6 linked regions of the Ovis aries genome follow. The protein of the gene in region 2 binds, or shares a complex with, the protein of the main gene of each other region. Links are inferred from orthologs where the notes say so. Each region holds a gene or a part of one and is shown on either strand. Other genes may lie near its edges.

Region 1 (3,848 bases), on a different chromosome or scaffold from region 2:
GGAGTTCTCTGCTACATTTTCTAACTGCTTATTGACAGAACATAGAAATACTATTGACTTCTGTATCCTTATTTGGCTCCTGTTCACCGTAATTAATTCAAAACCTTGGGACTTCCCTGGTGGTCCAGTGGCTAAGACTCTGTACTCCCAATGCAGGGGGCCCAGGTTCAATCCCTGGCCAGGGAACTAGATCCCACATGCCATAACTAAGAGTCTTCATGCAGCAACTAAGACCCCGGCACAGCCAAATAAATACATTAAAAAAAAAAAATTCAAAACCTTGCTCCCCTGCACTGTCACCTCATCTTGCAGTCCTGCCAGGACGGGGTGGGGAGTCTTCTAGAGATGGGGGAGGACTCAATCCCCTTCACTGCTCTTCCCCTGTATTTTGGTTGAAGTTTCCCCCAAATGCAACCAGAAGCCAGAGGGCTTGGGAACAGAAGACAGAGAAGGGAGGGGTGGCAGGGAGCAGGTTCAAGGGGTGATGAAAAGCCACACCCTCTATGCCCAAAAGGGGAGGTGAGCCAAAGCCAGTTGCCCCCGATGGTAAGGTCGGTGTAGGTAACAGCTGATCTGTTCTACAAAGCATCTTTTTTTGTGGGCCCCAGATGTCTGAGTTAGAGAAGGCCATGGTGGCCCTCATTGACGTCTTCCATCAATATTCCGGGAGGGAAGGTGACAAGCACAAGCTGAAGAAATCAGAACTGAAGGAGCTCATCAACAATGAACTTTCCCATTTTTTAGAGGTGAGTCTTGCTTTTTAAAACTAAACTAACCTGCTCTCCTGTCCCCTTGTAAGACCATCTGTCCATTTTCTCTTCTGAGCTGCCCTGAACATGGCTCCAGGTTGGTGTCAGGACTCCTCTGTTGTTTCTGAAAATGTGTTTGCACAAGTGAGCCCTCAGTACAGAGGCTGGCTTAGGTGGGCCCCACAATTTTCATTTTGTGTACAGTAAGAGCATCAAGGAAAAACTACTGTCTCAAACGCAAGAGTACAGGTTCTTGGAAAAACCTAAGGATATACAGCAATAGGGTGGCTTCCCCATTGGCCTAGTGGTAAAGAATTCTGCCTGCAATGCAGGCGCTGCAGCAGATGCAGGTTCAGTCCCAGGGTCAGGAGGATCCCCTGGAGGAGGGCATGGCAACCCACTCCAGTATTCTTGCCTAGAGAATCCCATGAACAGAGGACCCTGGCAGGCTACAGTCCATGGGTCACAGAGAGTCAGACACAACTGTAGCGACTAAGCATGTACAACAATAACAATGACAAAGTGGGATGGAAACTATACCATGGCTTATCACACGCTGAACATGCAAGAAGACTGTTAAAAATAAGCTTTTGCTCTTGGGAAGAGGACTGTTTTGGCTTTCTCTACATGGTTAGATCCATCACAGTGAGAAGATGCCAGGTATTACTGAGCTCTCAGCATAGTCGATGCTGGGAGAGATGCAGACCCCAGGACCTGGCTCATCACCAAGAGGCCACAAGCTGCTCACGAGAGAAGCCCTGGGGCCTTGCAGGGGCCCTGTGGGGTGAGGTGCCCTGGCGGGAACTTGGGAAGCTGCATGAGGACATCTGATGAGCCCCACTGCTCTGGCAGCTCCCTTCTGGTGGATGTGTGTCCAGATGCTCTGCTGAGGACTCACTTCCCCACTCACAACCTTCACTGCCCTTGGCTCAGCCACATGTCATCTCTGCTGTATCTGTATTGTGTATTCAAGGCAATGAACTGCAGTCCACCTGGTACCTAATATTCCCTTGGTGCCCAGAACCGAGATTACTGAAGTGATCTTGCACCCAGAGGAAATGGCCATACAGTGCACCAGTGCACTCATGTCTGACCAGGAGGTAATTCCTGGGAAGACACGAGAGCCCAGCCCACGTGGTGGTGGGAGCTGTCCTCCTGGGCAGGCTGGACCTTGGTGCAGGACGAGCCACAGGCTCCGTGCCCTGAGTCTGCAGGGCTCTCCCCACCCAAACACTCCACGGCTGCAGATGGCACCACCATGAGAGGAAGTGGCCTGCAGACTTCAGGGGGCATTCCCTAGTCTGATTCTGAAGCTGGTTTTCCCAGGCACCCAAGTTCTCAGCGTGGTAACTGCCTGCTCACACTTTTACTTACCTTGTTTCCTGCCACCTCACCTAAGAATCAGAAGGTCCTGGATTCTTCTGTGAAAAGAATTGTTGCAGTGAGACATTGCTTATCAAGTGCAGCTCAACAAATGTAGCTACTGTCATTAATTATTGATTTAAAACAGAGAAAAAGCTTAGCATGTGGGAAACACAGTTTATAAAATAAAAGTGAATCATGGTAAGTATATTAAGGTATCATGAACATTGTTGGCCTGGTTTTTATGAAGTAGTTTCTGTTTGGAGGCAAATCTTTCCTGTAATTGAAATTAATCTTTTAGCAGATGTTTATAGGTGCCACCCAACCCCTCACGGGAACCTCAGTCTTTTACATGTTCTATGTCTGAGGCAGCCATTGTGCATTATACTCGACTTCTTCAGGCCAAGCGCTCCTGCCCTGAGGACTGGGTGTTCGGAAGAGTCAGTGGTATTATACTCCTCTTCAGCTCGTGTGCACGTCTTTCCTGTTCTGTCTCTGTCCTCTGTCTCACCACTCGCTTGACTCCATGTTGGGCATAATGTCAAGAAGAGTCCCAGATACCTCGAAAGCAGCTCAAGTGCCAAAAGACATAAGAAGTTAATAAATTTAGGGCGTGTTCCCGAGAGTTATTTCAGCCAGAAACTACTTTCAAAACCTGAAAATCCACTGGAAGCCTTCACTGTAGGGTCTTCCACATGCAGAAACAATGAAAAACTTACAGGAGCCAAAAGTTCATTTTTGCTTTCAAGGCATTTGCATATAATGTGCTCAGGCTAATCTAGACTGTACTCTTCCTTTCTGTTTTTTTTTTTTTTTTAACACAAACAGCCTGCAGTTTTTCAGATCCTGGCTGTTCCATTCAGTCTTTTAGTAGCAAGATCCCACTGCACCTAAAGGAAAGTGGAAGAGAAGGCTTAGACCCCTAGAGACCTCTGCCAACCAACAGCCTCCTGGTCACTGGAAAAACCCTTTCTGGAATTTTGCATTCATGTCTTAGGTTGTTTCTAAGTTAATAATAATAATTATTATTATTATTATTTTTGCTCTGGAAATTGTTTTTCAGCTGTGCCATGTCTTCTTTGCTTCACAGGGCTGCTCTCTAGTTGCCGCAAGCAGGGGCTTCTCATTGCTGTGGCTTCTCCCGTTGTGGAGCACAAGCTCTTGGGCACGTGGGCTCGGCACGTGGGCACTGTGGTTCCTGGGCTCTAGAGCACGGGCTCAGTAGTTGTGGTGCAGGGGCTTAGTTGCTCTGAGGCACGTGGGATCCTCCTAGATCAGGGATCGAACCCATGTCTCCAGCATTTGCAGGTGGATTCTTTACCCCCGAGCCACCAGGGAAGCCATTAGGTTGCTTCTAATATAAAATTATTAAAGCCAGCCAACTTCTGATCTTGTCTTTGTGGCCCTAATGTTCATTTAGAAGCAAGCTGGACAACCTGTCTTATCTCTCTCAGGAAATCAAAGAGCAGGAGGTTGTGGACAAAGTCATGGAGACACTGGACAGTGATGGGGACGGCGAATGTGACTTCCAGGAATTTATGGCTTTCGTTGCCATGGTTACCACTGCCTGCCACGAGTTCTTCGAACATGAATAAGGAAGAGAAAGCAGCGGAGCTGTTTCTGCAGCAGAGACGAAGTTTGACCAGGGGAACGGAGGCAGGGCTTGCAAGGCCGTAGGAGCTGAGCTTTCCGTGCTGTAGCTAATTAGGAAGCTTGATTTGCTTTGTGAGGGAACAA
Region 2 (5,469 bases):
TCTATGTGCCCACAGCCTGTTCCTCCCCATCACTGCACCCACCACACAGCTTTCTTGTCACCACCCTTCCCCAATGCTGAGAACTCCCTGAGGGTGGGGTGTTGACTTCATTTTGGGATTCCCAGTGCCATGAACATGTGATGATGCAAAAGATAAACCAGCTCCTTCCACTGCACAAAGCGATGAGGTTCTGACCACAGGCTGAGCGCCCCCTGGTGTGTTGAGCCCAAAAGTGGGCACTGGGGATGCTACAAGATTCTGCAGCAACAGAGAAGGTGAACGAGCAGGTGCCGAGTAATGACGGAAACTGTGCTCACGGGGACGCAGTGCTCCTCCTCTTCAGCACTCAGTGTGTCTCCTGGGCTGGGAGGAATGTGGGTTCTGTGGTCAAGCAAGACCTGACTTCATTGCCCATTAGCGATCTGACCTAGGGCCTCAACTTTCTCATCTGTAAAATGGGGAGAGTAACAGTTTCTACCTCTGGGGATGTTATGAGAACCAAATGCAAAGCTCCTGGTATGGCACTTTCTCTCCCTTAACGTAGCATTCAAGGCTCTCCCTGCCCCATCCACGTCCAGCTTCATCTCCCTTCCCACCCCAGGATCTGCTCCAGAAGCAGGAAGGAATCACAGACTTGGGATCAAGAGTAGTTTGTCCACCTGGGTAAGTGCTTGTCTTCTCTTAACCAGCCCCTCTAGCTCTGAGGTGAGAAGCTGTACTCACCACCAGTTCCCTCAAAGCTGCAGGCACCTTTGCAACCCCTAGAACTACAGCCCCAAGATCTGAACATCTGGACCTTCACTGGAGACCTACAGTCCCTTCATTACTAGGCAACCAGGAGCAGCTACTTGGTGGGAAGAGATTCTCCCACAGGAGGCTGAGACATGGGGCTGAGACAAGTCAAGGGGCTCAGTCCACATGACTCGGCCTGGCCTTTGGTGACCCAAGGTTGCCATAGTAACAAAAAGAGGAGGGGTGGGAGCCTACTTCTGTTGGCCTGCCCTACCCCAGGAAACTCGGCTCCCTTATCTTAGGAGGCTGAGTCAAGACAAACATCAGGACCAGCCCTCAGTCTATCTCAAAGGTCAGGCTTATGGTCTGGTACCTAAGCAGACCCAGGCCAGAAGGGCGCGGCCACTAACAGGCAATGGAGCTGAGCAACACGGCCAGGCACTCAGGCTGCCAGGACTAAAGCTACTGTGTGCCAGGCAGCTGCTCTTCTATCTGTTCTTCACGTCACTCCTGAGAGGTAGGAGGCAGGTACCATTATTCCCATTTTACTGCTGAGGAAACCAGACTCAGAAGGGAGAAGCTTCAGGTCAAATGGCGATGGTGGAGGCAGGACCAGAACTCAGGTAGGCTCTACCGCCAGAACTCAGGCCCTGTCCTGCCTGGTGGCTTCCACAGCCCCTCCCCAGCCAGCAGCTCTGCGACCTCACAACGCCTTGAGAACTGGGTGAGGCCATTCCCAGCACGGCGATGAGAAAGCCCAGGCCAGACTGTCCCCCAGCCTCATAGTGCTGTCAACACACAAAACCAGCAACAGGCCCTGGGGGCTGAAGGGATAGACCCAAGGGGAGCAGAGAGCGTAGAGCTGAGGGAGCCGGCCTGGGAGGGGGCCTGAGAAACGGCCTGTGTGCCCCACGCCAGGCACTGGGCCCTGGTGTGACTGGAGGCCACCAGGCTCCCTCCAGCACCAGGTGCCATGCCCTCGTCAGGCCCAGTGGACTTAAGCCTCTCCCATCACCCCTTCACCCTCTTAATACAGTCAGCCAAGCCACCACGAGTAAATAAGCAGAGGAAGCGTCCTGGTCTGGGGGACGGGTAAACCTGAGTTCTAGCCTGGCTTCTGACCCTGTCTGGGCCATAGTCCACTCCCCTGAGGAACCGGAAGGCTGAAGCAAGTAATCCTGACATACGGGGCTGCCTCGAGCATTAGGTGGGCCCAGAGAAGGACTTGGGCTTCCCTGGTGGCTCAGATGGTAAAGAATCCACCTTCAACACGCAGTTCAATCCCTGGGTTGGGGAGATCCCTTGGAGAAGGGAACGGCTACCCACTCTAGTATTCTGGCCTGGAGAATCCCATGGACTGTATAGTCCACGGGGTTGCAAAGAGTGGGATATGACTGAGTGACTTTCACTTTCAGAGAAGGAAGGCTGAGCTGGGCCAGGGGGCCTCACACCTGGGCGGGACAAGGTCAGTGCCTCCTTCCTTGTCCACTCCAGGCAAACAGTCACTCCACCCCTGACGATCCCTAGCTCCGGTGCTAGGGCCTGGCCCTTACCTTGGATGGCTGAAGCCCAGCTTCCTCCCCTGAGGCTTGTCCATTCTGGAAAAGAGAGGAGAGAGTGGGGAACACTGTCAGAACTTACCAGAGTGGCACAAAGCAAAGACAGACCCTATGGGGCGCCCCAGCCCTTGGATGCTCCCAGTGGCTAGAGGGGCCCTGGAGGTGGGGGCGGGAGTTCTGGGAGGGGACAGGCCTCAAGCCTTCTGCAATCGCCCCAACTCAGGTAGCCCGCTTTGGGCACCCCTCCCATGTTCTCTGCCTAGAAAACATCTCATCTTTGAAGGTCCGGCTCAAATGCCATCTCCTCCCAGTGAGAAGGAAAGGACTGTGGGTGTGTGCCAACTAACCAACTCAAGAGGCCTCAGTTTCCCAATCCGTAACATGGGTATTTACATCCACCTCCTAGAGTTGATGCAAGGGCTGAAGGACATAAAGTCTGGGAGAGTGTCCAGCCCAGAAATGCTCTGGCCCTGCCTGCTCTGGGACCCCTCTCCATCCTTGCAGAATCACTGCTACTCCCTATGAACCTTCATTTTACCACTTATCACAATGCAGGGACTACGGACTCGTGGGCCGTGCGTGCTAAGTCACTTCAACTGTGTCCAACTCTTCGCAACCCCATGAACTGTAGCCTGCCAGGCTACTCCAGACAAGAGTATTGGAGTGGGTTGCCATTCCCTTCTCCAGGAATCTTCCCACCCAGGGACTGAACTCATGTCTCTTAGGTCTCCTGCATTGGCAGGCAGGTTCTTTACCTGGGAGCCCCTCCTAATAAACGGGAAGTCCTGGGAGGCAGAGATGAGGCTTTTGGTGCTAACAGCTGCTCTCTTCCGCGCCCCTGCTGCACGCCGGCACTGGCTTTGGTACCTCACATCTGTGGCACCATTAAACCCTCCTGACCTGGGAGGTAGGCCCGGGTCCCATTTGGCAGAGAAAGAAACTGAGGCGCAGAGAAGCCTAGTGACGGCACCTAAGCCACAATGCTGCTCAGCGGGGATTCAAAATCCGGTCTCTGACACCAGGAGGTGCTCAAGAGACTGAGGAAGAGGAGCCCAGCGCCCAGCCAGGGCAACAGAGATGCAGGCATGGCAGCTCACCCCTGCACAGTCCTCCAGACCCCAGACTTCACCCTCCGCTGGGTGCTGTCCACCCTGGGTATACCACCCCTTTCCTGTGTGATATGAAGTGAGTAACCTACCCCATCCGGGCCTTGGGAAGCTAAACGGAGCGGTCTCCAGCCCTCATGTGCAGCAAGAGTGTGGAGAGACCAGGAAGACCCAGGACTTTGGACCAGGGGCCAAGTCCACAGGGCAGCTGCAGTCTTGTTGGCAGCAGCAGGCACAGCTGTGCTTTCCCCATTATATAATCTCCCTGCTCCTGGAGCAGCACTCCCTCCCCGCCAGTCCCTGGACATCCTGCCCCTTGAACCCCCTTAATGCCCCTAATCCTCCCCAGGGGCCAGCGTTCTGAGGCTCCACCATACGTGTTCTCTCTCAGGAGCTTGGGGAGCAGGACTGGGTGGAACCAGGCCTGAGGGGAGGAGGAGGCGTGAGGCCTTCGTAGACGGAGTTCCACTTCACCCAGCATTGCAGACTCTTGACATAACTCTGGATGGTAACAAGGGCCTACACACCAGCCTCCCCCATTCTAAGCCCTCACCCTTCCTAAAACTCAACTGCAACCATTACATTTGAGTGACTCCCCTGGTCACTCACTTACTCCTTACTGAGAACTTTCTAGGTGCCAGGCCTCAAACTCTTCCACGGCTTCCCACTGCCTGTGGGATAAAGTCCCAGCTCCTTGGTATGGCATTCAAAGCCGTCATCTCCAGCTCCCACAGGTGATTAATGTGGGTTCTGGAATCTGACCTTGTGGGTTCAAATTCTGGTTTCTATCACCTGCATAACCCTGAGGTTACTGCATTTCTCAAAGCTTCAGTTTCCTCATCTGTGAAATGGGGATAAAAGTAATGTACCTCACTGGGTAGCTTTAAGAAGCAAGCAAAATAGTGTCTATAAAATAGATACATCCAGGGACGTCCCTGGTGGTCCAGTGGGCCAAGACTCTACACTCCCAAAGCAGGGGGGCCCAGGTTGGATCCCTGGTCAGATCCCACATGCCACAACTAAAGATCCCAAGTGCTACAACTAAGACCTGGGACAGCTAAATAAATATAAAAAAAAAAAAAAAAGTACAGCTTGCATATAACTGGTCCACAAACAATCACCATTATTACTATCCCGATTTTGGAGCTAAACTGAACAAGCTGAGACCCTGAACAGGCCAGCTTGTCCCCAAGCATTCGCACGGTGGCTCCTTCTACCAAGAAAGTCTTTCCTGCCCAGTCACTCCAGCACACTCCTGGTCTTCTTTGAGGACCTGGTTAAATGTCTTCTCCTCTGTCCATACAGCCTTAAGTCCTTTCCTCCCTCCTCTGGGCCTCACAGCACCGAGCAAACCTCAGATTAACTCAGGGAGGAGCCACGGCTTGTCCGGTATTGTCTCCTTGGCACCCAGCTCAGGGTCTGGCACATAGCCTGTCAAATGAAACCTCAAACCAGCAAAGCAAGCAAGGAGGCCAGAGTAGGTTCTATTCCTCCCATTTTTCAGATGAGGCTCAGAAGAGCTGAGTGACTTAACTGTGGCCTCTCTGTTAGCAGGTGACAGACATGGGGCTATGACCCAGAGTCACGTGAATCCCCAGTGAGAGACAGGAGGAGGTGGTGGGTGAACCCAGAGGTGGGCGCTTACAGGGCAGTATCTTGGAGGACTCAGGGAGCCTGTCTGGCTGCCTCCAGTCCCGGGGTCTGGCTTGGGTGCCATCCTCATGGAACGCCCAGGCCTGTAAGAGCTGATGCACAAGGTCTCTAGGGGGAAATGGGCGGCCCTAGCGAGAGCACTAGGAGTGCAGAGAGGACCACAGGTGACCTTCCCCTTGAAAGCCAGGGTCCTGGGAAGACAGGGCGCATCTGCCCTTCCGGACTGACTATTGTACAGAGGGTGGAAAGAGCACAGGTCTGCAGCCACAGAGACAGAGCCCCTGCTGCCGGCTCTGCCAGCCACTCGCTCTGAATGTGTCTGTCACATTACTTCTCGAGCCTCGGTCTCCTCACCTGTACTAGGCGGGCAGGTCTGTCTTGTTCACAGTGGCACCCTGCTGGTTGGAGAAGTACTTGCC
Region 3 (5,475 bases), on a different chromosome or scaffold from region 2:
CATCTCTTCTTTTACATTTTTTGTAAACATGTATATAACTTGGTTCAAACCCAAGCAAGCAATTTCAAAGGCAAACTGTGGACCTTCCAATCCAATAGGATCTGATGGTCAATAATCACACTGAAGTGAAGTGAAGTGGCTCAGTCGTGTGTTAATAATTAGATGGTCTAAATAATAATACTGACTGATAAGTGTTTCTATAATATTTGTATAACATAAAGGTTCAAGCCAGAAATCTCTGTCCCACTCTCACGCAGACCATTTCTTGTTAAAAGAAGAAAAGTAACTTACCAGATTCCAGAACTCATTTCAAATCATCCTGTGTTCCTATATACACTTTCCATTGTCCTCATTATGCAATTCTACTTCACTTTTCTCCTCTGAGTCTCAAGTAGAAGCAACACAAAAACACTGACCCCCACCAACAGAACTCCTTCCTCTGAGACGGGATGTTGAGTACTGTGTCTGATACTTCTCAAACTTCATGCATCCTTTTTTGGTAACAGACCAAAAAAACATCAGGAAAAAGAGCTGTTTTAATAGGATATGGATGTCCTATAATTAAGTATTGATTTCTTTTTATAGATAAGGGATTCTGTGCAAACAGTAGTATGATTGCATTAGCCCACCCACTCCTTTTGTGGAGTCAGGGAGACTGGGGGCAGTTAGAGATTATAATTTACATAGGCACTAAATTGGTTTACAAAATGCTGTCTCAATGCAATGGCATTTCCCCACAGATAAGGAGAGCTTCCAGGCAGCTTGCCTGGGCTTGGAAGGGTGAATCAGTTCTTTATATCTGTGATTGAATCTCTAAAGGGATGAGCCCAGGATAACTTTTACTTTGTGCTGTTTCTGTCACACATGGAGAAAGCCTGCCCCCTCTGCCACTGAGAAGGTAACTGCGGCCACGTGCCCACAGGCCTGCTTCCATCTTATGCTCTGCTGACCAGGCAGTCTGTCTGTGCTATTAACTGACAACCACACTCAGGGTCTAGCAACAGGCTGCAACTCTCTTCAAACATGACTAATTAGTATATGTAACAATTTCATGTTCATATCTTCCAGATTAGGGGGAAAAAACAAACACACAAAAGCAGGTTTGTCAGGGGCACACCGCAGGTCTCCTGGCAAGGATTCCAAATCAATAGTGCATTTTTCCTCCTGAGATTGCCGTTTCTGACCCATATAGGGCAATAGAGCCCCCAAGGAGCTCCATGACGCCGACACCACTCTCCCTTTCTGCTAAGTAAGCAGGTTTGTGGTAAGTGGCAAGTGACAGTTAAGAACAATTTGTCCCTAGAGTGCAGTTTCTGTTCTCAGTCAACGCAAAACAAGGGCCCTTCAGCATACTGGCCAATGCCATCTTAACTGCCTTCAAGGATTTGAGTGATGAAATTGAAAAACAGGGCAGTATGGATATGTATTTTATGATCGATTATAGATGCCCTATGAAATTCAGAGGAGAACCTGAAGAACTGTGCTTTTTCAAAAGGGCCAACTCTCCCCACAGGGCTGGTCGTGCTCACAGCATCACATGTGTTCACAGGGTTGTCAGAGTCATTCCTGCCAAGCCCTGCTCTCCACTAACTGGATGTGCTTGGTGGAACCCAGCGAGCCCTTAGTGAAATGTCAGGCGTGGGCTATAAATCTGTGCCTTTACCCTGTGAAGCCCTTTTCTTAAAGCAGAATGCTCATCAAGGTCACTGCGAAAGATTGCAGTTCTAAAGCTACAGAAGTAAGAGTCAACAGAAAATAGAGTTCATAAACACTTTAAAGCTTACGGTTCGTCCAAAAACTCTTGGCCCCCCACCACTTTGTGGATTTCAGTGACAAATGCATTTTCATAGGACTAAGAATGCTTTGGAAACCTGTTCTCCTAAAAAGGCACACTATAGCTTCTCATTTTCTGCCTTCTGGCAGATCTGGTTTGAGTAAGCAGTCTTTAGAAGGCTAGAAAGACAACACTGCATAAAAATGTGTGTATTTCTGTAGGTTAAGATCCACAAGTGTAAGCACACTCTGGATTGGGGTAGAGAGAGAGACCGAGTGTACAGTTTGGCACATTATATTCATATAAAATATAATAGACCAGATGGTGAAACCATCACTACTAGTAACTTTTTGAGTCTTGCATACTATGTAATACAAACAGGATCACTTTAAACTACATGCATAACACCAAGAGGAAAAAAAAAACTTACAAGATGCCACATTGTATTCTTTCGGGGGAAAACAGGGACACAGATTCAAAAAGATACTAGATCATCAATAAAAATATCCGACTAAAATTTTACTATATTTATATAGGCTTACACACACACACATATCATTTTTAATATTCTTGTCACCTAAAGGACTTCAGATAAGTAAAACATCCAACTACTTTACTAGGCAAGATTTTCCCAAAGATCATTACACAGGAACAACCATTTAAAAATCAAACTGTTTATCATCTTAATCCACAAGGAAAAAATAATACTGTTTTAATCTTTCTGTTAAAATCTTGCGGTGGGGGGGGGGGGTCGTCACTTGAGTTACAAACAAGCAGTAATAATAGTATTATCACTTACCGGCCGAGTAAGGAATTAGAATCTTCCAGTTTCTCTAACGCCAGGTTGGGAGTAGGTCTAGAAGCTCCTCTCGAAAAGCTATTTCCAAAACAGGTGCAGCCCGCTCGGGAGCATCCTGTTTATTTGGAGCAGCGCGGGCCTCCTCAGAGCGCTCGGACCCAGTCTGCGGAGCCCATGGTTTCCAGAGGCCGGACAACTTCGGCCTCTCTGGGCCGCCGGTGCTCCTCCGGCCCCTGTCGACAATTTTCCTGGAAGTTGCTGCCGAGTTTAATCTGCGGATCAGGTGAGCTTCTCTGAGCCCTGCGCAGGGGTCGCAGCAGGCAGAAGAAGGTCCCTTTCGGTCTGTCACGGCCGGCCAGGGGGGTGCCGGGGCATCGGAGACGAAGCCCCTTAGCTGCTCCTGGCTGGGAGCCGGGCTGCCTTCGGCGACGACGGCGGCAGCGAGGACCGTGGCGGCGCAGTGGGGTCCCGGCTGTGGCCCGGTCCAAAGACGCTGTCCATCCCCGCCGGTGCTGAAGTGCGGGCCCGAACCCCAGGCCCGGCCCCGCGCCGCACTTTTCCCCACCGGCGAACGCGATCGGTTAGCTGTTCTTTCAGGCTCGCCTCCCCCGGCGCTTCTTACGCGGCAGGGCTAACCGGCTTTCCAAGATAACGGTCTCATGTTAGTCTGGGGGCACCGCTTCCGGACAGCATCTGCCGTTGGAAGCAGAAATCCGTGGGAAATCAGTTGTGAGCCTCTCCTGACTTTTCAGTGGCCGCGAACGAGTTTCCTGATGCTAGAAATGAACGGGAGCGCACGCACACGCGCGCGCACACGCGCGCACGAGAGAAGGAGGCGGGGAGAGAGAATAAATATAGATTATGTACCGTGGAAAATCCAGCGCTTCTGTGGGTCTCTAATTACATAAGATGGAAAGGGCTATTTCGGAAGACTCCTCAATCTCCATCACCCATGGTGGGTGGGGGGCGTTTAGATTCTGAGAAGCGCCTTGTGAAATTCCCAGGTTAGACACAGCACCGAGCAGAAACGACAGGTTACTGTTCAATGAAAACACAGAAAATGAGAAAAGAAAAAGAAAGAAAGAAAAGGCCGCGATACCTTGTAAAGCGTTGCTGAACTGGCTGGAAATCCTTGCCGAGCCGCTGGGAGGGGGTCGGGCGGGACGCGGACGCGTGAGCGCGGGGCTCCGAGCCGGGGAGGCAGCGATGCGCGCCGGGCGCAGGCTCCTTCCCCGAGGCCGGGTTGGCGCGCGTCCGCAGCCCCGGGCCCTGCAGGGCAGCGGGGGAGGCGGTCTCTCAAGGACCGAACGGGGGACGATAAAGTCAGCGGGAAAGATCGGCCGTCCCCACCCTTCTAATGCCGGAACGCGGCGCAGCCGGCAGGTCCCGGCTCGGGTTTCCGCTCTTTAGCCTGCTTCTGCTCGCTGCCCCCAGGCCTCGCCGACCCCTCGCCCCCGCGGCGCGCAGACCCCACCTCTGCCCGCGGCACTGGCTCTCACAGCTGCCGACCCCCGCACCAGGAGGGGCGGCGCACGGGTCCCCGGGACGGCCACCGAGGGCTCCGCCGCCCACATTCGGCACCCGGTGCGGACGCGCGTGGGGTGAGGCGGAGGACCGAAATTCACTACGTTGGAACTGCTAGAGAGCTGATCAAAATTACGACCAAGGACTCATAGAAAAAAGGGAAAGTGTAGCTGGGGTTGAGGGTCGTACCACTGGGCACCTCTCCAGGCACTGAGATTACGAGTGTCATTTTCCGCGCCCGGAGATTGTTGGAGACCTGGGAGGGAACTCAAGAGGGAAGGACCAGGTGTGGAGTGAGGGCGCTGGAGATAAACGCGAATTTCCTGACTCGGGTCCCAGGCCCTCCTCGCGGCCCGGCGTTCAGAGTCCTCGTGCCGGATGCCGACAGCAGAGGGAGTCGTGGACGCAGCGCGGTCCTCCACGCCGGCGCGGGATATCCGAGCCAAGGGGCTGGCGCCGCGCGTCCAGGGGGCTCCCCCAGGACCTGGGGGTGGGGGACGGCGTGGGAGGCGGCAGCCAACGCGGCTCCGGTTGGTTCCCTCAAGGCTAAACGGAACTGGACCGGGGATCATCTGGGATGGAAATCAGACAGGCTCGTTATTCACCCCGGGAAGTCCACGGTTTCCTTAGACTTTGAGCCACCTCTCCGCCGCCTGGGCTCGAGCGGGTTCCCGCGAGGGCGCGTGGGGCGCTGGGGCTGGAGACGCGCGGGGGAGGCGGGTTGAGGGGGACGCGGCGACGGGCGAGGGTCCGACTCACTACAGGCCTCCAGTACCCGCTGAGCTGCGCTGGGGAGCCTGCTCGTTCGGTGGGAAGGGGCACGTCGCCCGCCCTCTATCGGGCCTTTAACCAGGGGCGCTGGTGACTGGGGCGCCGGTGGCAGGTACGGAGGGAGCTCTCACACCGCGTCAGATGGAGCCACCCCGCCTTCACTAGACCCACAAAGCCACTCAGAATGTTGTTACTTGGGGCGAATGTGGAAGCGTGTGTTTTGCTTTAGGGTCCGTGTGAAAGCAGACGGATTGCTGGGGATCTTGGTAAATGAAGTTTCTCTTCTCCTTGGACAGATGTAGACACACATGCGTCTCTAGTGTCTGCAGAGACACGTCGTGTCATCCCCACAGACAAGCTTCACAAGGTGCAGGTTTTGTGAGAGGGCAAACACATCGCTTCCAGGTTTGGGGAGCTCGGACTGTTTGGGGAGCTGGTGGATGAGAACGCTTTTCTCCGCAGAATTTAACCCGCTTGATGCGATTGATGACATCTGTTATCCTCTCCCAACAAGTAGAAACAAGGATAATCGCAGAAATTTAACACATCAGATAAAAGAACCGTATTTAAATAAGACTCAGGGCTCAAAGATGTGACTAATTAAATC
Region 4 (4,484 bases), on a different chromosome or scaffold from region 2:
CTCTGCAGTAAAGCCCTCTCCTGGAGAACATGAGAGATGTCTGGGGCCAGTGACCCAGGCTTCAATCCCAGGTTTGGGATTACGATTCCTACTCACTGTCCCTTCACCCCAGGCTACTCTCCTACATGCAGGTTGTTGGTCCAAGTGTGGGTCTGCCCCTTTATGTGTCTTACATGACGTCTATGTGTGTGTGAGAGAGAGAGAGCTGTATTGTTTATACATGATGTAGTGATGGTACTTAAACTGAGGAGTTAGCCCATGGTTTGGAAAACGGACAGAAACCACACCCGGAGGAGGTTGAATGTAAGCCTGAGGACACTGGACTCCGAGGTGGAGAGCTTTTTCGAAGGGCCCTTGTCACCATCAGTCTTGGAAGTGAGACGTTTCAATCCTGGCTGGAAGGGTGTAATGCATCTTCAACTGTGGCTGTGAGAATGGACTCATGACAGGGTGTCCTGGTAACTAGATATCTAGGAGGTGGGCTGGGTTGGTAAGTGATGGATGGCACTGGTCGTGTGGCCATGCCCACCACCCTGGGTAAAGGGGGGCATCTTTGGCCCATTCCAGCACCTTTCTATGCCTGCACCCACAGCCTCATGGCATCAGGCAGCAAAGCCTGAATTGGCTGCCTCTGGAGAGAGGTCAAGGCTGATGTGGGGCCAAGACTAGGGGTGAGATGAGGTGGAAGACACGGGACAGCAGAGACCACACAGTAGGAAGAGGACGTACGAGATAGAAAAAGCAGGCGTGAGAGGAGCCCAGGGCAAAGGCAGCAGCGGTCAGTCCCTGGGCTGCCGTGGGTGCTGACAGTTTTCCGGGCTGTCCCAGTCTATGTGAAAACCTACAGGAGACCTCGCTCGTGAATCTGACTCTTGCAGTGCGAAGAAGCTAAGTGACACGGGACCCTACCCACAGCTTCTGCTTGTCACCTGTGAGGTGTCTTCCTCCTCCTTGGGGCCATGGCTTATTTTTTTTTTTTTTTTAAGATTCTTAATTAGTTGCTTTAGTTTTCGTTTTTTTAAATGACTCAGATTGCTATCCTCTTTTAAGCCTCACTCTATTACTCTTGCTACATACTGAATTCTTCTATTGAAGACTATCACTTAATCCTTATAGCAGAAACCTAGAAACCGGAGTTGCTTTCCACTTCTTTAATTCTCCATAAGGCATCACTATTATAATATCATACATGAATATGTACGTATATATATGTGTGTGTGCGTGTGTGTATATATATATATATGTTTGTTTTAAAAAGTAGAAATGTTCTTCTCAATCATCTTTGTTTGATACAAAGTAGGTGCCCAAGTAGGTATTAATAGTTAGAAATTAAATAAAAGGCCACAAAAACTTCCCAAGGAAGATCATTAAAGAGAAAAATCCTTTTTTCCTCTTATTACAGCTGGCCTTTGATGCATGCCAGGTAAGAAAAAAAGGAATACTGCAGGGTGATGGGAAGACTGGACCTTTCCCATTTTTTGGGTTGTAGCTGAACTTCTATTGGCGGTTCTAGTAAAATATATAACTCTTCGTTTGTTCTAGGCAAGTCCTTCTTTCGGGTTTCCTTCAGACACTGCCTTTACTCTCCCATGAGAAAATGAGGATTCAGAGATTTCAAATAGCAAGATTCTGGTTGGGTAGCAGTCTCTTGAAATCATGAGCTGGCTATGTAGAGGGAAAAGTTATGGAAGACTGGCAGGAGAGGGTGAGAGAAAAAGAGAAATGTATCTTCTTCTTTGGGAGCACAGGAAGAAAGCAAGTTTTTCAAAGTCGTTGCCGGTATCTCATGAAGGCCCAGGCTGCTACCATGGTGAGGGCAAACACTGGCACCAGCACCATAGTTATGGGAATACCACTTGGCTCCCCTTCGCCTTGAGGTCCTATGGGCCCATTCTGCACCTGTAACCTGTGCTGCACTCTCAGGGACACAGCATAGCCTGCATTACGGAAGGGGTCCACAGCATCCTGGTGCAGCAGGTTCTTTAGGTCTTGGCCGTTGACCGAGAGGATCTTATCACCCTCCTGGAGCCGCCCATCCAGGGCTGCAGCCCCGTTCTCTTTGATGCGGCTGACGAAGATGCCACTGTTGTCGGAGACATACTGCTGATCTGTCCCACCGACGATGTTGAAGCCCAGCCCTGACGGTCCTCTGGTGAGATTGATCTCTTCCTCGGTAATCAAGTAATCCACTCTTCCGTTCATATTTTAATCTCTGGCTTCCCGACCGGGGTCAGCGAGGATCGGTGCAGGTTGAAGGTGAGAAGCACTACCGGCAGCAGCCACAACACCGCACTTTCGGCCATGGCTTATTCATCTCTCTAACCAGAGCATCTGGCCCTGTGCAGGGAAACCTGTCGGTGCCTATTAATGTTTGAATAAATAGCTGCATTTATCACAACAGTCCTTGGCCCAGCCTTCGTCCAGAGGTTGTGGAATGAGCAGCAGTGCAGATTTTAGAGCCGGTACCCATATCAGCCATGTGCAAGGAGGTGAGCTGTGCCAATGAGATTCTTTCTGGGCGACTGAAGTCTAAAATGAGCAATGAAAAGGCATTACCAGGAGGAGCTGAGGTTTCAAGGGTGTGTGGGGAAATGGAAAAGCTGTGTGGACCCTCAATGTAAGGTTATGAAGGACCTTACAGGACGAGAAAGGAGACCCCAAAATGGTGAATGTGAAACGGTTCTGTGGCCTGTAAAACGAACACAGGTGTCCATGATCAATAAAGCTGACTGTAAGTCTCAGGCGTCGTTGCCAATCTACTTGTGTGACTATAAGAGGGAGAAGAACCTTTGTGTTCTTCTACAAGTTAATCACTAACGGGATGTTGCCTCTAAGCTTAAATTACCCATAATGGACCATCTCTGGGACACTTGTCACCCAGGTAATGAACACTAAGCTAAAATACCTTCGTTTAGCTCACGAGGAAGCATCTTCCTGACCAGGCCCATCTGTGAAAGACTGAAGGCAGGAGGAAATCCCTCCTGGAGTCTGGCCAGAACCAGGGCCTTACTCCCTCCTCTTTCAGTGTTAAAAGAAGCCTGGATTCTAACTCAAGGAAGATGGTTCATAAGGACACAAGTCTGCCATCTTCTCAGGCTGCCATTCCTTACCCCAACAACTTGTCACTTGATTTATTGACCTATTATATGGCAAAGCAGTATGAGCAGCCAGTCTTGCTGCTCATGGCCAGCCAGCTCTGGTTGGGGGATTTTGGGGGTAAGGCCCTAGCAGCTGCCCGGACCACTCGTCCTGAGGATCTTCCCCTTAAAATTCCCTGAAGCTTCTCTGGCTGTCCCAGCTCTTAGCGGGTGGAGCAAGGAATCAACATCTCATGCAGTAGGTAAGTCACTCCATGTAACAACTGGAGATCTTATTTCTTCTCCATTTAGGGCTTCTTTCCTTTAGAATAAGACAATTTGTATTTGAGTGGAGCGTGTGTGTGTGCTCAGTCGTGTCTGAGCGATGCCATGGACTGTAGAGCCCACTTTGTAGAGCCCACTATAGGCTCCTCTTGTCCATGGAATTTTTCAGGCAAGAATGCTGGAGTGGGTTGCCATTTCCTACTCCAGGGGATCTTCCCGACCCAGGGACCGAACACTCGTCTCTTGCATCTCCTGCATTGGCAGGCAGACTCTTTACCACTAGCGCCACCTGGGAAGCACATTTGAGTAGGGCACCATGTTGGAAAGAGGATAAGAGGACATAGTTGATGGACTTTTATGCAATTTGTGTGAATTGGTTTGTTTATTTGGATGCTGACATTTGTGTGTGCTGTTTGTCTGTCTTGTATTTATGTCTTGAAGAAAAATGGGGAATGGGGAGTTCCATGGTGATCTAGTGGTTAGGATTTGATACTTTCACTGCTGTGGCCCAGTTCAGTCCCTTGTTGAGGAGCTGAAATCCTGAAAGCCATGTAGTGTGGCCAAAAAAAAAAAAAAGGGAAATATTTCAACTATGCCTGAAGAAAGTCCTCAGAGGCGTATTTTGGATAAGTGGTCTGATTACAGCTATGAAACCATGACTAAGAAGTTGAAAATGTATGGCCCCAGTACCTGCTAGGATCTCCTCAAGGGGTTCATTATGTGGGGTTATCCTGGGACCCTGTGTACCATGTACTGCTGTCTTTGCTTTGTTAATTATATCACGTGTGGTCTCCCGTGTCATTGGTATCTGTTAAACCCCAAGACCAGACTTGAGGGTTTATTTAGGGTTTTTGGTTTACCCTTTAGGTTTTTGGTTTCATATTGTTTTGGTAGCATTTCTCCAGTTACAGCCAAATCAGTTTTATGATATTTGAAACTTCTACTGATGTCGAATGGAGGAAAGGAATAGAAAAAGTCTATTCTTGTCTAAAAGTGGGACATTCCCAGGGGCGAAGAGAAAGATTCCACTTGGTTCCTAAAAATCAACAAAAGCCCTGCCCCAGAATTCAGTATGGTTGGTTGATGCTAAGACAAAAAAGCATTCTTTGTATTGTTAAAGAT
Region 5 (4,964 bases), about 240 Mb from region 2:
CTTGTATCTGTGTGCACGTGTCTGCATGCGTGTATGTGTGCACGTTTCTATGTGTATGTGTGCACGTGTCTGTGTATGTGTGCACGTGAATGTTTGCATGTATGTGTGCACGTGTGCACGTGTATATGTGTGCACGTGTCTGCATGTATGTGTGTACGTGTCTGCGTGTATGTGTGCATGTGTCTGCATATGTGTGTTCACGTGTCTGTGTATATGTGCTCCTGTGTGCTCGTGCACACAGTGCTGCAGGCATCCAGGCACATGCGTGCACATGTGTGCACATGTTTGCATGCGCGTGTGCTGCTTCTGCGTTCAGGCAGCTCCCACAGCGAGCTGACAGCCGGGCTCAGCCCCTGCTCTAACCCTGCCATCCAGGCAGGGAGCAGGCGGCTGGGCATGCAAGTGTCGAACTCAGCCCTTGCTCTAACCCTGCTCCAGGCAGGGAGCTGGCATCCGGGCTCAGCCGCTGCTCTAACCCTGCCGCCCAGCACACAAGTGTCAGACTCAGCCCCTGCTCTAACCCTGCCATCCAGGCAGGGAGCCAGCGGCCGGGCTCAGCCCCTGCTCTAACTCTGTTGCCCAGGCAGGGAGCTGGCAGCCAGCATGCAAGTGTCAGGCTCAGCCCCTACTCTAACCCTGCCATCCAGGCAGGGACCTGGTGGCCAGCGCGTGAGTGTCAGGCTCAGCCCCTGCTCTAACCCCGCCGTCCAGGTACTCTCCTCTGCAATTCATTCATCCTAAGGACCTAGGTTTTTATTAAACTCCTTTAATGTTTCATTGAGGCTGAAATACTGAGTTTAAATATGATCTGCAGCTTAGTCTAATTACCAGCTTCTGAATGTTTTAATACCTTGATCTTTTCCTTAATTAGGTAAAACTCTCAGGAAGCCGAGCGGGTCTGCACTGAGCTGTCAGACTACAAAGAACTAGGTTCCTGAACTTGAGGAAACACTCCTTCTCTCACGAGCCTCACTCTCGGGAATGCTGCATCTCTCACAAGGGTGATGCTTTCAATCAATGTATGAGTGTGAACGTCGCCTGCGCGGCCTCCGTAAATCTCCTCTGGAAATCGCACTTCTTCATGGAGCCACCCGCGTTACCCTCTCATGGCACACACAGCGGATGTTCATCAGAAAATGTCGTGAGACAGCAGAGGGCCTTCTGAAGAGCAGCGGCCGCCCTGGGCTCTTAGCTCTCCCAGAGCATTATCTAATGGCCCGACGCCTGAAGCAGTGAAGAAGTGAAGTCGCTCAGTCGTGTCCGACTCCTTGAGATCCAACGGACTGTAGCCTACAAGGCTCCTCTGTCCATGGAATTTTCCAGGCAAGAATACTGGAGAGGGTTGCCATTTCCTTCTCCAGGGGATCTTCCCCACTCAGGGATCGAACCCAGGTCTCTCGCATCGCAGGCAGACGCTTTACCCTCTGAGCCACCAGGGAAGCCCGAGGAGGGCTCTAAAGTCCTCTGTAACTAAGAGCAGAGCTTCCACTGCTGCGGGAACCCACACTTTGCTGCTGCTCAGCCCCTCAGTCGGGGCCAGTTCCTTGCACACCCGTGGGCTGCAGCACGCCAGGCGTCCCTGTCCACCACCAAGTCCCGAAGCGTGCTCAAACTCACGCCCATCGAGTGGGTGATGCCATCAAACCCCCTCATCCTCTGTCATCCCCTTCTCCTGCTGTCCCCAATTCCTCCCAGCATCAGGATCTTTTCTAATCAGTCAGCTCTTCGCATCAGGTGGCCAAAGTACTTTCAGCTTCAACATCAGGCTTTTCAATGAATATTCAGGACTGATTTCCTTTAAGATTGACTGGTTGGATCTCCTTGCAGTCCAAGGGACTCTCAAGAGTCTTCTCCAGCACCACAGTTCATAAGTGTGAATTCTTCAGCACTTAACCTTCTTTACAGTTCAAATCTCATATCTGTACATGACTACTGGAAAAACCATAGCTTTGACAAGACAGACATTTGTTGACAAAGTGACATCTCTGCTTTTTAATGTGCTGTCTAGGTTGGTCACAGCTTTTCTTCCAAGGAGCAAGCGTCTTTTAATTTCATGGCTACAGTCACTGTCCACAGTGAATACAAACTGTATTTCAAAGGAAGCCTTAACCACTGTCTTTCCCAAAGAATTAAACGTGGAAACTGAGCAAAGCTATACTTGAAAGAGATGACTGTTAAATAAATGATGAATGCCTAATGTAAATGAATATCCTGTGTAATTTTCCTCTGAAAATGTCCCAAACAAATACAACTAAACGTAACACTCTCCAGGAATAACCGTGCACAGGACAGTTTCCTATGTCTTGTTCTCCGAGAACTCACATCAGGGCACAACCACTTTCTGGTTCTCATAATACGAAGGCTCGCACGTCTGGGGTGGAGACAGGCCCACCAGGGGTCAGGTGTGGGTCTTCCACTCGGGGGCTTCGTAACCCAGCTCTGCTCCGAGCCGCAGCGCTGCTGGGGGCTGTGGTGTAAGCGCTCCCAAGGCACTGACGACAGGCTGGCAGAGTTCAGAAAATTCCCTGAGTGGCTCCTTGTGGGGAGGTGTGGCAACATGGGCCAGGCCCGCGCAGCCGGGTGGAGGCAGCAGGGGTGCCCTGCACACCCTCAGCAGCCTGCGTTGCACCAAAGGCCGTGGGGGAAGGACAGCGTCCGGTCAGCTCCCAGTCAGCTCCGGGCCTCTCCCACCCAGCGGTTGGCAGAGCAGCCTCAGGGCGGCCAGGGCCGTGTCCCCAGGCCAGGTGATGCTGGGCTCTGACCTGGATGGGGGTGGGTGCACCTCCCCTCTCTCCACATTACTTGTTATGTCCAGATCCTTTGAATTCACAGAGCAGTGTGTCCTTAGTATCGCAGGTAAGTCATCACATAGTGCAATTTGCATAACTCTTCCCTTAAAAGCTGACTTCTGTATGTTTAACCGTGGATTTCCTGCTAATATTTACTAAGAAACTTGTGCTTTTTGGTGGAATCAAGTAATGGGTTTCAATGACTACAGTTTTAGGATATTAAGGCCTCTAACAGGAGACACACCCTGGGTTCCCATGACACCCTGGCTGACTCCGAGGAGGGTTCACACTTGCATTCCGGTGATTCCACATGCCAGGGGAACGGCACGCCCAGCCCCGGACACCCGGTTCACTCAGGCGAGGCTGCACCGTGGACGAGTCCCTACCTTCATCTCGATCTGCTTGGTGTCCAGACTCTGAAACAGCAGCTTCACCCGAGCTTTCCCGTCGTCGGAAGACCCCTTCAGCTGGCAGAACTTAAACCTCCAGAGCACACTCTGTGAAGGAAGGCAGTCCTTAGTGCTCTAGACCCAGGAGCACGTTTATTCAGTTAACATCAGCCAGTGTTGTTAAATAACCTGAGCAAATGCAGACGCCTGCTGGGTTACCTGTGTGCAGAGATGCCTGCTGGGTTACCTTGGTACACAGATTTCTGCTTGGTTTCCTGTGTCACACACGCCTGCTGGGTTATCCGTGTGCACAGACGCCTGCTCGGTTACCTGTGTCACTGACGCCTGCTCGGTTATCTGTGTCACACATGCCTGCTGGGTTACCTGTGTGCACAGATGCCTGTTGGGTTATCTGTGTACACACACGCCTGCTCAGTTATCTGTGTCACACACGCCTGCTGGGTTACCTGTGTGCACAGATGCCTGTTGGGTTACCTGTGTACACACACACCTGCTCAGTTATCTGTGTACACACACACCTGCTGGGTTACCTATGTCGCTGAGCAAACTGCTCTGAGAACATCACTCAATGTCGGGTCAGATTTGACTAGGAAAAGGAAAAACTCAGCGGTGGAAACTTTCTAGGAACCACCTGCAGAATCGTGATCTACACAGAATCATGAAAGACCGCCAAGGCTCGCGCGTGAAAGTGGACACTCCCCGCTCATCAGCTAAAGGGTCCACAGTGGTCCTTAGAAGGAAGTCCTTGTTATTTATTGGGCATGGATGTCACGGTCACACTGACTGGCTCCTGTTGGCTGATGTGGTGGCAGCCCCGTCCGGCTCTGGACCTGTGAGGTGCTGGGGCCCTGAGCTCTCAGAGAGAGGGTCACCACGAAGGAGCCCGTGCAGAGGACACGGCCGTAGGGCTGGTGGTGCCGCAGCCGTGGACGGGCATCACAGCCCTGAAATGTAACGCATGCTCTGCCCACCGGCACCGCCCCTGGCTGCTCGGCACATACCTTGGTCTTGCTGTCGAAACAGGTGAATCCGAGAGCGAAGTCCACCGTGAAGCACAGAGTGTCCCCTTGCCCGCCGCACGCGTACGTTTTGGACTAGGAAAAAGGATCAATTGTGAGAAAATATCTTTTTAAAATGAAGCTTCACATTGATCGGGTGGCTACAGTATCCTCTGCAGAAGGAAACGGCAGCCCACTCCAGTACCCTTGCCTGGAAAATCTCAGGGAGACAGGAGCCTGGTGGGCTCAGTCCATGGGGTCGCCAAGTCGGGCACGCCTGAGTGACGGATGCCTACACTCACACTATTTGCCCCCATCCAAACCTGCTTTTAGAAGAGTGAAGCGCTCGGAGGTCCCTGGGACACGGCTCTCACGGCGCCTCCCGCGCGGGTCCGCCGGCAGGTGCAGAAGCCACACCGTCAGCAGAGGTGCCGGTCTTAGCAAAGTGGAGCCCGACGCGTCCTCCGGAGACACCCTAACCCCAGACCACAGCTCCCCGTGATGCCATTTGTCCCCATCACGTGAATGAGCATGCACGCTCTGCTCCTACAGGCCAGCCTGCAAGTGCGTCCCGAGACATGAGGCCCGGCTGCGCTTGGGAGACGTTCCGAGGGGTCTGACCCAGAACAAGAGCAAAGGACAGATACAGCAGAGACTCCACTGAGCTCTGCGCCCAGGGCCGCGGGAGGGAGGCTGCTGTGGGGGTGGGTGGGGCTGGCGGGGCGACCCCGACAGGCTCGGGGTTTGCGAGCATCAGGCGACCGATG
Region 6 (4,964 bases), on a different chromosome or scaffold from region 2:
TTGGAATGCAGAAAATTCTCCTCAAAAAAAAAAAAAAAGTTTAGTGTTATTCACTGAGAATTTTTCTGATTGCCAGAGGTGTGCTAATCACTTTGCATTTCCTTTCACCAACTCTATGACATCTGCCCTTTCAAAGATGAGGAAACTGATTCTTTAAAAGAGGTTAAGGAACTGGCCCAGTATTACACTGTTAGGAGGCATAGCAGGCTGTGCTTTATCACCAGGGTTCCGTGCAACACCATGCAGCTCAAACTTTCATGTGTATTCATATCAGATGGTGATCTTGCTAAAGGCACATTCTGACTCAGCAGGTCAAGAGTGGGGCTTGAAACTTTGCATTTCTAATATGCTCTCCAGTGATGAGATGGCAGTTGGTCTACAGGCTGGATTTTGAGTATCAAGGCACTATATTACTGAAAGACCATCATCTCTTCCCTTTGAACAAAATGGTATGATAGTTCATTGCATTGGGAGCCAGACACTCTTACTTGGTGACGTGACCCTGATATACTTGAGACAACACAGAGACAAGAAAGATATCAATCCAGAAGCAATCGTGGTTATGGAATGCATACATTTCCATGTATTTTTACAGTAAAAATGCATTAAAAAATCTTTCACAAAAGAAACTTAAAAAATACAAGTAGGGTGTTAAGTCCTCCCCGCAACATTCTTTCAGGCATCAACTGTCTCATGGGTGGGAGGGGAGTTCCTAAAGGGTTTGATTTAATCATACAAAATACTCATTCATATCATCTCTCATCAAGACATTTACATGAAGTGGGGAACTAGGGAAAGTAGGCTCAAAAGAATCAGTCTCCAATTTAAGGTTACAGTAGTTCAGAGAAAAACTCTATCTTTCTGCTTAATGTATAGTCCCTGTAAAGTATGATATTTTCAAAGTATGAAACTCAGATGGCACTGCCACACTAAAAGTCTTCACGGATAAAGCCAAGCCCAGGTGGGTAGCACATAGATTTTAACATGTCAAACATCTCTGACAACAAGAAAGACACTGAGATGTTAATTTCACGATCCACTCCAAAAATCCACCTCTTGATTTCATTTATTTAAAACTCTGGACCACAACTGAGAGCATCGATCATTAAACATCATGGATTTGGCTAGAATGGGTGAGAGAACTCCTAGCAATGGAGCCTTAGGAATAAAATCCCCAGTTGGCTCTTAGGAAATTGATGAAAAAAGAACATCATTATTCAGTTGCGTTCTCCCTCACCATACTACTGTAGCTCAATATATGCTCTGTATGGAAAACTCTGAAGATAAAAATAGCAGTCTCAGACTTTTTCCTCTTTTTTAGCTATAGAATGTACATTGTGTCTGTTCCAGGAAATGAACTTGGTTTGTGCATATCCACAGAAGGACAGCTACTCATTGTAATGTTGTATAAACCCATAAGTCAAATAAAGCTATGAACAATGTAATATTTATATATGCATAGTGTTTTATAAAAAGATTGGCCCACATACTGCTTTTCATCAATACAGAAAGAGCATTAAGTCCACAGCACACTGCAAGAAATGAATGAAGAACAGAAATGCAAACAAGTGCTTAATAATTCACAAGCAGGCTCACCATGGAGGAAATGATGATATTCAAACCAACTAAAGCTTTAGAGAATTACTTATATAGTCTCCCATTTTTAAAACAGCTTTACATACCTGATTTAGTTTACAGTAAAATATATCCCAATGAATCAATTTGTTCCATATTCAGAAATATAAACACATGTCACATTCCTCACAGCTAATTTTTTTGTCATAAATTCTCTTTTATACAAGAAAAAAAGGCAACAGTTGTTTGTTTTTAAAACAGGCTCTATTAATTACAATTTTTAACTCTGTACACAAGATAATTGGCTGGTTTTCTCCATTTTTTTTCTTTATCCTTTTTTTTTTTTTTAAACAGTACCATGAGAACAACAGTGATTGACTTGCAAAGTTTGGTGTCTGTATGGAAAATGCAAAACAGTACTACGGAAATATGCAATGCATCATAAGCAGCGATTTGTTGTAGTGGTCCAACAGGTACAAGCAAAGGTTTTGGCTCAGCTAGGCAGTAATTCATTTCAACCACAACCCGGGGCTATAGCCGACCCAACCAACCTCCTGTGAGATAGCAAAAGAATGTCTTCTATTAAAGAAAAATTTCTATATTTTGTTCTGCCCAAAGATTAAAAGGACAGGGTCATAAGTGCAGATGTTTGTCAACCAGATCTAGAACCAATGAAATAGAATTCTTCTCTCTCTTTCAACCATTTTGGAGATTTTTATTACGGTTCCAAAGAAAACTGGCATTTCTAAGAATGAGCATGCCCAACCCTCATGTCTTTAAATATCAACAGAGAAGTTCCTTCTACCAAGGCTTACTCCCTCCTCCCCAATTTGGCAAAGGGCAACCACAGGCTCATGATAAAAAGGGAAACTTTCTATACTAGTGATTCTTAGGGCTCCTCACACCGCCACCAAGTCTCCCATGCCATTTACTCTTCAGTCTTAAATCAGGCAAGACAACACCAAAGGTGTTTGCTGTGCATTCCTTCTAGCAGTTGAGCAAAACTTTCATGGCACTGCCTTAATGAGATTCTCATTCAATGTTGGTGATGCTAATACCTGACCATCTGTGCGTGGGCTGCATTTAGGTAACGGTGACCAACCTTCTCCTCTCTGCACCTTTCTATAGCCAGGGAGAGTACAAACTGTGTTCTGAATGGAGAATAACTTGAGAACATAACATTTCTTTGTGCTTTGTGCTGTGTCCTTTAGCTATAAATATCCTTCATTTGCAACAGTAGTCTCTTCATACAGTTTGCTTAACTTTAGGATCATCAGTAATCCTCATTTATTCCAAGGAGTCCTTAGCTTTTACAAATATAACTTTTGCCTTTTTGCTTTTATAAAAAAAAAACACACCTAACTACACTACAACACTACATCAGTACATAACAGTCTCCATCAAATTAATTAAATTTGATCAATAATTTTCCTTACTTAGAGAAAATGATCAACAGCCCCAATTAACCAGGAGAGAAAATGATCACCCCCACCCCCAAAGGGAACAATTCTTAACAATTCTACAGTTTATGTAGAAACAAAATTTATATCCCTTGGGGGAAGCATTTAGCAAATAATTTCCCAAAAAAGTATGCATTTAAAAATACTTTCTTTAATATGATACATCAGGCACACCACTTTTCATATATATATTTTTTTCTTATAAGATTTCAAATGCATCAAATGTCGCTAGTCAGAGGATCATCAGGCTGACGTCAGATGTTTCATTAGGTAAGAAACTAAATGATTTCAGGTTTGTGAGCTTCCTCTTCGAACCTTTGACATGGTAAAGGCTGGGAATGTGACGCAGGCTCTCAGATACTGAGGTCGGTGCTGCATTCTTTGTAAGGTCTTCTCCGCTGCTCCGGGGGATGTCTGGAACTCCGGCCGGCGTCCTGTCTTAGACTCGTCTCGTCCCTCTCCCGGTGGCTGCCTCTGTCCTCTTTGTTCCTTTTCTCCAGGGACCGCTCTCTCCTGCGCTCGGGGGACTTGGTCCGCCTCCGGTCGGTGGATTTGGCTCTCCTTTCGGGCGAGCTTCCTCTCTTGCGCTCGGGCGATCTTCTCTGATCCAAGAGTCTCTCCAGAGACCGCCGCCGCCGGCCTGGAGAGCCGTCCCTCCGGCGGGTCGGGGACCGCTCTCGCCTCCACTCCGGGGAAACCTCCTTCCTCTTCTCCTGCTTCTCCCTTCTCTCCAAAGTGTTGTCAGCGCTGCGCGTGCCTTCCCTCCGCTTCTCCAGAGACCTCCTCTTGGGGCCATTGGTCACCATCCGCTCGGGTTGGGCGTCTCTTCGTCCCTCGGGTGCCCGGTCCTTGGGTCGGCAAGCCCCACTGTCGGGTTTTCTAGAAGTTCCGTTCCATGTGTGATGTTCATTGGGTTGTCTGCTATACTCTCTGCTGCCTTTGGGATCTCTCATGTGTGCCCGCTTTTCCCCATGTGGTGATGATTTGTGAAGATCGGGTGGGTAACTGGACTCCAATGATGGATGCTGTCGGCGGTCAGGGGGCCCAGCCCTCATTTCCGGAACACCTTGTGGACCGGTGGGGGGGCCGTTCCCGTCGCTGCTGGGGTCTGCCAGGAAGAGAAACGAGAGCAACAGTTTGGTATCAAGGACCTTGGCTCCTGTCCCCACCCGCCCTCTTGAGACCCCATTAGTCACAACAAGCAAACAACTGTTAAAAGCAGTCAGAATCAAAGCCAAACTGACTCTTAGTTAATTTAAGTATAACTCCAACTAGCCATGGTTAAAAACTGGTACTTGTGGCTTTTGGCAGCGAGCCTACCATCTTTGTACTCATACAGATCATTCAACTTGTAACATCAGTCATGAGTTTAGTTATTAAAGGAATAGCCCAAGTAATCTGTCTAGAAGTATCAAAAGGCCCTCCCCCTTAGTATCTCCTGTTCTTTTTTCCCCCAGCCATCACCCTTCCTCCCTGACATCTCCCCCCACCCCATGACAGAAAATATTCCTTTGTTTAAAGATTGTTTTAATTTGCTTACAAAAATCTGGGCTGTTGAACTGGAGGGGCATGAGGGAACTTTGTAAGGGAATGGAAAGAATCTATGTTTCGATCTGAGTAGGGATTAAATGGGTGCATAGAGAGGTAGAAATTCACTGCTCTGGGCCCTCAGGCTTTATGAATGTTACTGTGAGCAAAGTATACTTTCATTAAAAAAAAAAAAATCCAGGCTGGTGATGACAGAGGCAACACAGCCAGATGTTGACAACAGGCAAATGTGACATTATGAGAGGGTCCATTTAACAGTCTCTCTACCTGTGTGAGTGCCGTCCAACTATTTTCTTTATTTTTGCATATGTTTAAGGAACTGTTTTTAAACTGTGGAGTCATCTGACAGATAAAAGGAAGTGGAAGAGAGGTTGTCAAGTG

What was found.
Region 1: the proteins of RPS6KA1 (region 2) and S100B are in contact, whole or in part, in a crystal structure (PDB 5CSJ), measured with the Homo sapiens proteins. The link is inferred for Ovis aries from reciprocal best matches to the Homo sapiens genes RPS6KA1 and S100B. Residues at the interface, in NP_002944.2 of Homo sapiens: Ala697, Met698, Ala699, Ala700, Thr701, Ser703; in NP_006263.1 of Homo sapiens: Ser42, His43, Phe44, Leu45, Glu46, Ile48, Val53, Val57, Ala84.
Region 3: the proteins of RPS6KA1 (region 2) and SNTG1 are in contact, whole or in part, in a crystal structure (PDB 7PC8), measured with the Homo sapiens proteins. The link is inferred for Ovis aries from reciprocal best matches to the Homo sapiens genes RPS6KA1 and SNTG1. Residues at the interface, in NP_002944.2 of Homo sapiens: Arg728, Lys729, Leu730, Pro731, Thr733, Thr734, Leu735; in NP_001274742.1 of Homo sapiens: Gly67, Phe68, Gly69, Leu70, Ser71, Ile72, Lys73, Gly74, His78, Ile80, Ser85, His118, Glu119, Val122, Leu125, Arg126, Arg141.
Region 4: the proteins of RPS6KA1 (region 2) and synaptojanin-2-binding protein are in contact, whole or in part, in a crystal structure (PDB 7P74), measured with the Homo sapiens proteins. The link is inferred for Ovis aries from reciprocal best matches to the Homo sapiens genes RPS6KA1 and SYNJ2BP. Residues at the interface, in NP_002944.2 of Homo sapiens: Pro731, Ser732, Thr733, Thr734, Leu735; in NP_060843.2 of Homo sapiens: Arg18, Gly22, Leu23, Gly24, Phe25, Asn26, Ile27, Val28, Gln33, Ser45, Arg46, His78, Val82, Phe85, Arg86.
Region 5: the proteins of RPS6KA1 (region 2) and SNTG2 are in contact, whole or in part, in a crystal structure (PDB 7QQL), measured with the Homo sapiens proteins. The link is inferred for Ovis aries from reciprocal best matches to the Homo sapiens genes RPS6KA1 and SNTG2. Residues at the interface, in NP_002944.2 of Homo sapiens: Pro731, Ser732, Thr733, Thr734, Leu735; in NP_061841.2 of Homo sapiens: Gly82, Gly83, Leu84, Gly85, Leu86, Ser87, Ile88, Lys89, Gly90, His94, Ser101, Lys102, Phe104, His134, Val138, Leu141, Arg142.
Region 6: the proteins of RPS6KA1 (region 2) and MAGI1 are in contact, whole or in part, in a crystal structure (PDB 5N7F), measured with the Homo sapiens proteins. The link is inferred for Ovis aries from reciprocal best matches to the Homo sapiens genes RPS6KA1 and MAGI1. Residues at the interface, in NP_002944.2 of Homo sapiens: Pro731, Ser732, Thr733, Thr734, Leu735; in NP_001028229.1 of Homo sapiens: Arg480, Gly481, Phe482, Gly483, Phe484, Thr485, Val486, Val487, Gly488, Asp490, Lys499, Ser500, His532, Val536, Phe539, Gln540.

Annotation. Positions count from the first base shown.
Region 1 is NC_056054.1:267,004,224-267,008,071, reverse strand, and holds part of S100B (protein S100-B), read left to right. Parts: intron 1-113; exon of another isoform or gene 114-186; intron 187-608; coding exon 609-746; intron 747-3,565; coding exon 3,566-3,706; 3' UTR 3,707-3,848. UniProt on the Homo sapiens protein: Small zinc- and- and calcium-binding protein that is highly expressed in astrocytes and constitutes one of the most abundant soluble proteins in brain.
Region 2 is NC_056055.1:240,329,457-240,334,925, forward strand, and holds the start of RPS6KA1 (ribosomal protein S6 kinase alpha-1), read right to left. Parts: upstream 3,721-5,469; 5' UTR 3,706-3,720; coding exon 3,490-3,705; intron 2,331-3,489; coding exon 2,286-2,330; intron 1-2,285. UniProt on the Homo sapiens protein: Serine/threonine-protein kinase that acts downstream of ERK (MAPK1/ERK2 and MAPK3/ERK1) signaling and mediates mitogenic and stress-induced activation of the transcription factors CREB1, ETV1/ER81 and NR4A1/NUR77, regulates translation through RPS6 and EIF4B phosphorylation, and mediates cellular proliferation, survival, and differentiation by modulating mTOR signaling and repressing pro-apoptotic function of BAD and DAPK1.
Region 3 is NC_056062.1:33,293,917-33,299,391, reverse strand, and holds the start of SNTG1 (gamma-1-syntrophin), read right to left. Parts: upstream 3,362-5,475; 5' UTR 2,574-3,361; intron 1-2,573. UniProt on the Homo sapiens protein: Adapter protein that binds to and probably organizes the subcellular localization of a variety of proteins. May link various receptors to the actin cytoskeleton and the dystrophin glycoprotein complex.
Region 4 is NC_056064.1:26,356,503-26,360,986, forward strand, and holds synaptojanin-2-binding protein, read right to left. Parts: upstream 2,298-4,484; 5' UTR 2,203-2,297; coding exon 1,765-2,202; 3' UTR 1,137-1,764; downstream 1-1,136. UniProt on the Homo sapiens protein: Regulates endocytosis of activin type 2 receptor kinases through the Ral/RALBP1-dependent pathway and may be involved in suppression of activin-induced signal transduction.
Region 5 is NC_056055.1:751,585-756,548, reverse strand, and holds part of SNTG2 (gamma-2-syntrophin), read right to left. Parts: intron 4,294-4,964; coding exon 4,201-4,293; intron 3,287-4,200; coding exon 3,176-3,286; intron 1-3,175. UniProt on the Homo sapiens protein: Adapter protein that binds to and probably organizes the subcellular localization of a variety of proteins. May link various receptors to the actin cytoskeleton and the dystrophin glycoprotein complex.
Region 6 is NC_056072.1:36,149,922-36,154,885, reverse strand, and holds the end of MAGI1 (membrane-associated guanylate kinase, WW and PDZ domain-containing protein 1), read right to left. Parts: intron 4,144-4,964; coding exon 3,389-4,143; 3' UTR 555-3,388; downstream 1-554. UniProt on the Homo sapiens protein: Plays a role in coupling actin fibers to cell junctions in endothelial cells, via its interaction with AMOTL2 and CDH5. May regulate acid-induced ASIC3 currents by modulating its expression at the cell surface.